Danio rerio: one gene and its partner. The protein of the gene in region 1 purifies or fractionates together with the protein of each later gene. This does not show direct contact. Links are inferred from orthologs where the notes say so. Each region holds a gene or a part of one and is shown in the gene's direction. Other genes may lie near its edges.

Region 1 (5,559 bases):
AAAGAATCACTCCGAGGGAAAAGTTTCTTTGGATTTCTCTAAATGCCTCATAAATGTAACACACAAATTTCTGCCATCCAATTTTTTATGCTTTTCTTTTAACTGTCTTGTTGCCGTAAACAATACATAAATAATATTTTAAAATACTTGGGGATGGACATGGTAATAGTATAAGCTCTGTCATGTGCTCTGTAATTGATCAGATGCTGGGGCTTGTGTAAAGAATTAGTCCAGCTGACCCATTATAACCTTCTTTTAATCCTATATTCACATTTATTCTCAAATAATGAGCAATTGTGTGATGCATATACTTAAAAGACATGAGAATCAAGCAGATAGAATAAGAGCTGAGGGGGGTGGTGAAAACTTTTAAACAGGATGAAGATATTAGTTTTTTCTAATTTTGTTGAAATATCTTGTTTTCCTTCATTTAGCACCGCCCTTTGAAAATGACAGAAAATATTAGGATTCATCCTGGTTCACAAATTAAGTGCGATTTACCTTGATTTTCAGATTCTAAAAGTTCCCCCCCCCCACATCTTAATGCCTTGTGTTTCCCTCTGGAGCATCAGTTAGGGTTTAAACCTTTTCTAACAGTTGTGTTTGAGTCCCTCAATCAACCTCAGTGTGAAAAGATGGATCTCACAGTCACACAGCCACTGCTGAAAAGGGTTCAAATCTGCAGAAGATGCTGGGAAGCTGAAGAATCTGCAAGAGATTAAGGAGATTGAGGAAGAGCAGCAGACAGTTTAATTGTTCGGAACAGACAAGAGAGTCATGAACAACCATCACAAAGCACTGGTAGATCATCAGGAAGCCACGCTGTATTGAAAATACAAACTTTTGCAGGGGGTGATGTTAATAATTTCAGCTATATTTTTGTGTAGTGTACTCTATGTAAACATATTTTATGTAAAATATCTTACTTGGGACAGTAGTAAATAAAAAAAATAGCAAGATTTTGTATGATCTCTCTTATTTTGTTCAAATTATTCACATTTTAACAAATTCTTCAAAGGGTGTGTAAACTTTTCAGTGCAACTGTGTCTTCTTTTGTGAGGAAACAAGCAATAAGGGTGAATAAATGATCATTTTGTTCTGGGTGAACTTTTTTTAATGTCTATTAGAATGTACAGTGGGCAGTGGGTACCACAGTTGCCTCACAGCAAGAAGGTTGCATGGTTTGAGCCTCAGCTGGGTCAGTTGGAGTTTGCATGTTCTCCCCGGTTTCCTCCAGGTGCTCCAGTTTCCCCCACAAGTACAAAGACATGCACAATGGGTGAATTTGGTAAGCTAAATTGTCCGTAGTGTATGTGTGTGAAAGGGAGTGTATGGGTGTTTCCTAGTGATGGATTGCAGCTGAATAGGTGTCTGCTGCGTAAAACATTTGCTGGATAAATTGGCGGTTCATTCCGCTGTGGCGACTTCTTTATATTTAAGAGACTTCAAAAGAAACTTCAAGTAATCAGCCATCTTAACTATTGTATGGTTAATTTCATGTTTGTAATGTTTTTAGAGTACAGCTGCTTTAAAAACAGTGTAAATGTACTTTTACATTTCCTTTTTTTTAGTTGTTTACAATTTATTTCTTAGTTTTTCAAGTTGCATGTTACTACAAGTTACACAATCATGTAAACACAGCAAACATTTTACATCCTAAAGTCTTTCCTAACATCCCATCCCCAAACATCTTCTCTAAAATTTGGATCATAATTCAGGTCTGAAGGGGCTAAAAGCTGTCTTTCCTTTCTTGTGAGCCATAAAACACTGGCACATCAGTGTTACTTCTGTTTCACAGAGGCAGGGGGGGAGTTTTTTTTTGGGAGGCGCGGTTGGGCGGAGTTTCTCTTTTATTGAAAAAAGCGTTACGAAAATCAGCGGCGCGCGCGCACGCGATCATTCATTTGAAGCGAGAGTCGAGTCCGCAAGTCCACGATAATAATGGCTCCTATATCAGTCAAACGCGTTTTAATCAGTGAAAGCGTCGATCCCTGCTGTAAAAGTGTTCTCCAGGAAAATGGCATTGAGGTGACGGAGAAGCAGCAGATGACTAAAGAAGAGTTGATTGCAGAGATTCGGGTAAGTGATTCACATTGCCTCTAAAGTATTATCAAGTTTGAATCGCTGCCAGTGAATGGCGTCCTGCAACAGGAAAATCAGCATTTTATGAGATGTATATAATTATGTGTGTTTGTTGGATGTGCTGAAGTTTTTGTATGACTGTCACCCCTCCTCCTCCTCCTCTCCAAGAGTCTGATGCAACAGCAGCCTCTATCTGCACCATATGAATCATTTCAATCGATTCTCTACTAATGGTTTTATTATATATTAGGTAGACAATCAGTTTGCAGTTGCCGATGTTTTTTACTGTTTGAATTAGTTTTCACTTCTGCATTTGCTGTTTAATTATTACATTACCTTCAGATTTATATATTTATTTGTGCTGATATTCACTATATTTGTGCATATAGACTCCCTAATTTTTTATTTTTAGCATGTATCATTTACTTGGCAGAACACTTCCCCCCCTGATTATGATGTAAACTTATTAAACAAACATTAAAACTGGTTTTCAAGCATCAAAACAAACAAAAATTACTTTTACTTTTGTTTTTCAAAAAAAATTATGTCCGCTGTATATATAAATATATATAAAAAAAAAAAAAAAAATATATATATATATATATATATATATATATATATATATATATATATATATATATATATATATTTAAAAATATATAACAAAAAATATTTCCCAAAGGATGTTTAACAGAGCAAGGAAATTTTCACAGTATGTCTGATAATATTTTTTCCTCTGGAGAAAGTCTTATTTGTTTTATTTCGGCTGGAATAAAAGCAGTTAATAATTTTAAACACCATTTTAAGGACAATATTATTAGCCCCTTTAAGCTATGTATTTTTCCTGATAGTCTACAGAACAAACCATTGTTATACAATAACTTGCCTAATTACCCCATCCTGCCTAGGTAACCTAATTAACCAAGTTAAGCCTTTAAATGTCACTTTAAGCTGTGTAGAAGTGAATATCTATAGTCAAATACTATTCATTTACTCTTCACCTAACAGAAATTGGAGAAAAAAAACAAAAAAAAAAACGGGGTCTAGTAATTCAGGGGGGGCTAATATTTCTGACTTCAATTGTATGTATGTATGTATGTATGTATGTATGTATGTATGTATGAAAACTCTTTCTTTGTATATACTATCAATACTCTTTTAGTTTTATCAATACTTTGGATAAAAGCACTATACAATGTGTTGTCAACATTAAAAGACAATAGAAGTATATTCTCTGTTGAAGCTTTTAGCCTATACGGTCAGTCCATATGTCCCATTTAAGTTTATTGTCCAACATCACACCCAAATTTATATAATATGTTACTAACTGAATGTACTCCCCATTAATTAATGTGAGGTGAGTTTGGCTTTGTGCTCACTCTCAAAAATCAATAACCATCTACTGGTTTTAGAAATATTTATAAGATTTGGTTTTTCACACCAGTCTGAAAAGAAGTCAAAAACAGGCCCATGTTCATCCGCCTCTTCATTTAAAAGGCTCGCCAAAGCAGTGTCATCTGCATACTTTACAATATACTGTATCTTTGATTTAAGTGAACTCATACAAGAATTTGTATATACAATAAATAATAACACAACCCTGGGGAGCTCCAGCTGAAGCGCATATTTTATCTGAAATAAAACCTCCCATTTTAACCTGTTGGATTCTAGAGCTAAGAAAATGGTCACCCAGGCAATCATTTAAATGTCTAATAAAAATTATTTCATTTATTTGAATTTTGGCGTCTTAATACTAATTAATTATGATTTTTAAATGCCACAATACTTCAAGCAACTATTATTTTTACTTGTTTGTCAACAATAGTTTCTAAAAACAGTATAAATGTAATAAAGTAGACACTTTACTTGCATTTAATTTGCTTTCTTTGTATATAAAGTCCCTCTTGAAATGTGTATTTGAGACGAGAATGGGATGTTGCATGCATGCAATTTGTTTTTATATACACACACTAGATTTTTAGTTCCGAAAGCATGGACAGTACTAAGTAGGCCTGTCATGATGAGTAATATTTGTTGCGTGATGCTGTAGAAATTATTGCAATAAGTGATATTACTGTCATTTTAAGATTCATACCTGCTTTTATATGTTATACACTACCTGACAAAAGTCTTGTCGCCTATCCAAGTTTTAGGAACAATGAGTAATAATAACTTATAAATAATAACTTGACTTCTAGTTGATCATTTGGTATCAGAAGTGGGTTAAATGAAAGACAAAGGCCTCTAGATTACACTTATTTTACCAAAATGAAATATGATCATATCTTGATTTTTAATGATTTAATTAGGACAGTAAGGTCTGACTTTGCTTAGACAAAAGTCTTTTCACTTAACAGAAATAATGTCCAGTCTAGAATATAAAGTCATGCAGTGGAGACAGAATGAATATTGTGTCTGACTCCCATGAGCTTGGAGGACTGCATCCATACATCTCTGCAGTGACTCAAATCACTTATTAATAAAGTCATCTGGAATGGCAAAGAAAGCATTCTTGCAAGACTCCCAGAGTTCATCAAGATTCTTTGGATTTATCTTCAATGCCTCCTCCATCTTACCCTAGACATGCTCAATATTGTTCGTATCTGGTGACTGGGCTGGCCAATCCTGCAGCACCTTGACCTTTGTTTTCAGGAACTTTGATGTGGAGGCTGAAGTATGGGAAAGGGATACCTCAGGCTATTGATGTTGCCATCCACTTTGCATCGCACACCTACATACTGAATGTAACCCCAAACCATGATTTTTCCTTCTCCAAACTTGACTGACTTCTGTGAGAATCTTGGGTCTCTGCGGATTCCAGTAGGTCTTCTGCAGTATTTGTGATGATTGGGATGCAGCTCAGCAGATGTTTCAGCTTTTCCAAATGTTCAACTAGATGTCAAGCTGTTGTTTGTTGCTCTTACAACTGGGATTGAAGACAAGATTGTTGTCAGGCACACATTAAAGGGACAAAAACGCCATTTAAATGTTCTTGTAAAAATGTTAGTTATTCTTTATATCGTCAATTTTCTGGAAGTGGAATGCAGATTTAAAACAGAGCTCATTTGGACACCTCCTAAAACGTTTTCAGGCAAATTTGAAAAATCACCTTTTCCTCACCTATCAGTAAACATTGTTTGAAAAAAAAAAAAGTTTCTCTGAACTCGCTGGGACCTCCGGGGGAGATTAGATGAGATGACATAAGCTGCACATTCAGATAAAATGTTTAAGATATGAATTTTTATCTAAACATGATGTACGATATATACTGCGTCACTACAATTGATTGAGGTCATGTCCATGTTTTGCACAATAAGTCAATATATTGATTATTATGACAGGCCTAGTACTAAGTGCATGTTTCACTTTTACTGTTGTTATTCTGCTTTTGTGTTAAAAGTTTGGGATAAACGTAATAACACTTCCTAAATCTTTTCCCCCAAGAATTATGATGGTTTAATAGTCCGATCAGCGACC
Region 2 (3,913 bases), on another chromosome or scaffold:
AGTGTTATTATATTTTTAATTAACTCCGGCCTGCCATTGTTTCTATTTTTAATTGCCTGTAGTGATGAAGGGCGATTTGCGAATGAATCATTTGTTTTAACCAGATCTTCCAAGTGAACTGAATCAGTTCATTAAATTGATCTGAGTTGTCGTGAAACGGTTTGCGTTTTCAGTAAGTACTTAATTACTTACGTTTTAACGCACCAGATACCCTCTCTGACTCAAAATAATCCAATATGCTGAGTAATTCAGTTACTAGAACAGTACTCTGAATCATCTGCTGTGAATAAGAGACCTGGTGATGATGAGTACGAGCAGACAGTCTGTTCCCTCGCAGCTCACTCTCTGATTGAGTGTGATTCAACCTAAGGTAGTTTTTTCTCCGCAGTATAATTCGTAAAAGCCAATTAAGCAAGGTAAAAAGTAACTCGCGTTACATTTTTCTGAAAGTAACTCAAATAATTTGATTACTTAATAATTTGCTTGTTACTTTTAAAAAGTAATATTATTACGCAATATTCGTTACTTATATCGTGTTACCCCAACACTGCCTGTGAGTGGCCTCTGTGCCCACAAGTACAACCTCAAAAGAAAGGCTAAAGTAGCTTAGCACTACTACTAAAGTAGCTCGGAGGCAGAATTTTGATCATATACATAATTATTCAGATCTTATTTCAGTTTTAGGTGCTTTGATACAGTTGAATCTATTGTGGGTAATAATGTAGGGTTTAGCAAAGGATTGTTTGGACTGTAACCCCACCTCAGTTAAACAAATATGCTGTTTGCCTGTAATTGTTTTTTGCCATTTCCCCCCACACACAGCAGATCCAGAGAGAAGAGGTTCCTCAGTGACATGTGATGCAGGAGGAGGTGGCAGCACAGGCTCTCCTGTGCCCTTTGACCTTTCATCGATTGGTAGCTCTTTGCCTGTTCGGAAAACACCAGAGTCATTTTTGGGGCCCAACGCAGCACTGGTGGATTTGGACTCGCTAGTATCATCAAAACCCAAACCAAAACAACCACCCCCACCAAGCATCTCCTCCACATCTAACAACCCCTTCCTCCAGACACAGGGTGTGTTTTTAAAACAATTGAATAGAAATTGTGTTTGTTTGCTTTTCCCTCTAACATCTTTCTTTCCTCCATTAGGGCCTTCCTCAACAGGTATGGGAGTTACCCCAGGAAGTACCATTTCAAGTAGAGGAGTATCTCCGACCCCACCTTCTGCTTCTAATCCTTTTGGCGCGACCCCAATGGCATCAATCTCCCCTCAACCCTCTTCACTTGGTCTGAACCAGCTGCGTACAAGCCCCGTTCCCCCAAATCCCATGCTGGGTCACATGCCTCCGCCAGTAGTAGGAATGGTTCAGCCAGGAATGGGCATGCCAGGAATGGGGGTCCCTATGGCGGCCCCCGGTTTAAGCATGGGAATGGGCATGCCTTACGGTGGAATATCCCCTATGGGTCCAGGAGGAAACCCCTTGCTGATGGGTCCAGGAGGACCTGCGCAGCCTTCACTGATTTTGGGCGGGCCATCAGGAGTGGGCGGAGTAATGGGAACAGGGGGATCCATGGGAGGTGGAACCACAGGCACAAGCACCAATCCTTTCCTTCTTTGAGAGATTTCACCAATCCCACTGGCCCTGTGCACTCAACAACCAATCCGAACCTGCCCTACCAACACAAACAGTTTGTGTTCAACAAAAACAAATGTGTGTTCATCTCTATATTTAATGAAAAGTAAAAACAACAACGTGTTCTTTTCTGTCACAAACAGCATTTCAGTTTTGTTTTGTTCTTTTATTTCCCCCGTTTTATTTGACAGTATTTGAAGTCTATTTATTTCCCTATTGAGTTTTGGTTTCTTTGACAGACATGGATGATTGGTGGGTTCATTCAATGAATGCAGGCTGTTAATATTGTTATATTATTAAGATGATTGTTGTTGCTCAGAATCAGGAATATGAAGAAATGGGAGGAGGAAAACAAGCCACTAATGAACTTAATCACACACCCTGATTTCTCCCCCCCCTCCTTTCATTGATGATGGAAGAGCCGGTGGCCCTCTAAAGAAAGAGCGCATGAAGGATGTCTGACGGACTGGCCCTGAATGGATTCAGAAGGATTCGGCTGTCCGTTTTATTCACAACTCTAGTAAAAATCATTTGATAGATGTATTACTTTTAATTTAATTTAATGTGTAATCTTGTGTAATTTATTTTAATCGTATGTCTCTGACTCCTGGAAACGATTAAACCAAGGAAAATCGCACTGGAAATTGCCATTGAAACAGATGCCTGCTCGGTCTCTGGCCTGCAACATTTCAGTCCATACCGCATGGTTCATACACACATGAGGAGTGAGTGTGTTTATGTGAGAGAGTGTTTGACATGTCCAGTGTTTCACTTGGCCCACTGCTTTGCTTTTGATGGGGTAATCAGCATTGTCTTTATAAGAGTCCTAATTTTCAGCCACTTATTTTTGCAGTCGTGAAAAAAAAGAAAGAAAATCGAAGCATTAATTCAACACCTGTTCACTTGAGAAACAGCGCTTGTCTTTGCATTTCACTTCAGCACCTTTGTCCTTCTACATTCACACAGAAAACAGGAAAGTGTTAACGCTTTTGAAACTGAAAATTGTCTGAATGATTTTGTGAAATCAGATTATAAAAATGGGGACTGAATGATACGATCCATGCTGTTATCCTTTATTTACTTTCAAATTATTTTATATATATAAATATAAATATATATGAACATTTTAGAGATATTTCTCTAATATTGGCTATGGTCAAAAAGTGTGTGGTGTTGACTGTGAACATTCACATAAAAAAAATAAAATGGAGAAAAAAAATCAAAAGGAATTTAAGAAATAAAATAAAAATCCACAAAACAAAATTGTCCAAGCCTATTTTGTTGCATTGATTTGCTTTAAAATCATTAGTATTTCCTTTAATTGTTCTTTTAATTAATTGCTATGTGACAACATGTAATAAGCAATAGAATTCATTATTTCATAATACACAAATATATTGTCATAATACACTCACAGGCTACCTTATTAGGTACACCTGTCCAACTGCTCGTTAATGCAAATTTCAAATCAGCCAATTATATGGCAGCAAGCATTTAGGCATCAAGATGATCTGCTGCAGTTCAAACCGAGCATCAGAATGGAGAAGAAAGATGATTTAAGTGACTGAACGTGGCATGGTTGATTGAGCGCACAACCATCTCTAGGGTTTACAGCAGGGGTGTCAAACTCAATTGCTGGAGGGCCGAAGCCCTGCACAGTTTAGTTCCAACCCTGCTCCAACACACTTACCTGTAGGTTTCAAACAAGCCTGAAGGACTCAATTAGTTTGATCAGGTGTGTTTAATTAGGGTTGGAACTAAACTGTGCAGAACTGCGGCCCTTTCGGAAATGAGTTTGACACCTGTGCTTTACAGAGAATGGTCCAAAAAAAGAGAAAATATCCAGTGAGCGGCAGTTCCTTGTTGATGTCAGAGGAGAATGGCCGGAGTGGTTCAAGATGATAGAAATGCAACAGTAACTTAAATAACCACTCGTTACAACCGAGGTATGCAGAAGAGCATCTCTGAATGCACAACACGTCCAACCTTGAGGCGGATGGGCTACAGTAGCAGAAGACAACACTGGGTGCCGCTCCTGTCAGCTAAGAACAGGAAACTGAGGCTACAATTCGCACAGGCTCACCAAAATTGAACAATAGAATATTGGAAATGTTGCCTGCTCTGACGAGACTCCATTTCTGCTGCGACATTCGGATGGTGGGGTCAGAATTTGGCGTTAACAACATGAAAGCATGATCCATCCTGCCTTGTATCAACTGTTTAGGCTGCTGGTGGTGTAATGGTGTGGGGAATATTTTCTTGGCACACTTTGGGCCCAA

What was found. The genes of interacting proteins can lie anywhere in the genome.
Region 2: the proteins of phgdh (region 1) and epn1a purify together in Homo sapiens (affinity purification with mass spectrometry; 3 studies listed by BioGRID and IntAct, with this or other methods). This does not show direct contact. The link is inferred for Danio rerio from reciprocal best matches to the Homo sapiens genes PHGDH and EPN1.

What each region holds. Positions count from the first base shown.
Region 1 is NC_133184.1:50,067,344-50,072,902, reverse strand, and holds the start of phgdh (D-3-phosphoglycerate dehydrogenase), read left to right. Parts: upstream 1-1,876; 5' UTR 1,877-1,941; coding exon 1,942-2,079; intron 2,080-5,526; coding exon 5,527-5,559. UniProt on the Homo sapiens protein: Catalyzes the reversible oxidation of 3-phospho-D-glycerate to 3-phosphonooxypyruvate, the first step of the phosphorylated L-serine biosynthesis pathway.
Region 2 is NC_133191.1:13,118,649-13,122,561, forward strand, and holds the end of epn1a (epsin-1), read left to right. Parts: intron 1-822; coding exon 823-1,074; intron 1,075-1,149; coding exon 1,150-1,619; 3' UTR 1,620-2,688; downstream 2,689-3,913. UniProt on the Homo sapiens protein: Binds to membranes enriched in phosphatidylinositol 4,5-bisphosphate (PtdIns(4,5)P2). Modifies membrane curvature and facilitates the formation of clathrin-coated invaginations. Regulates receptor-mediated endocytosis.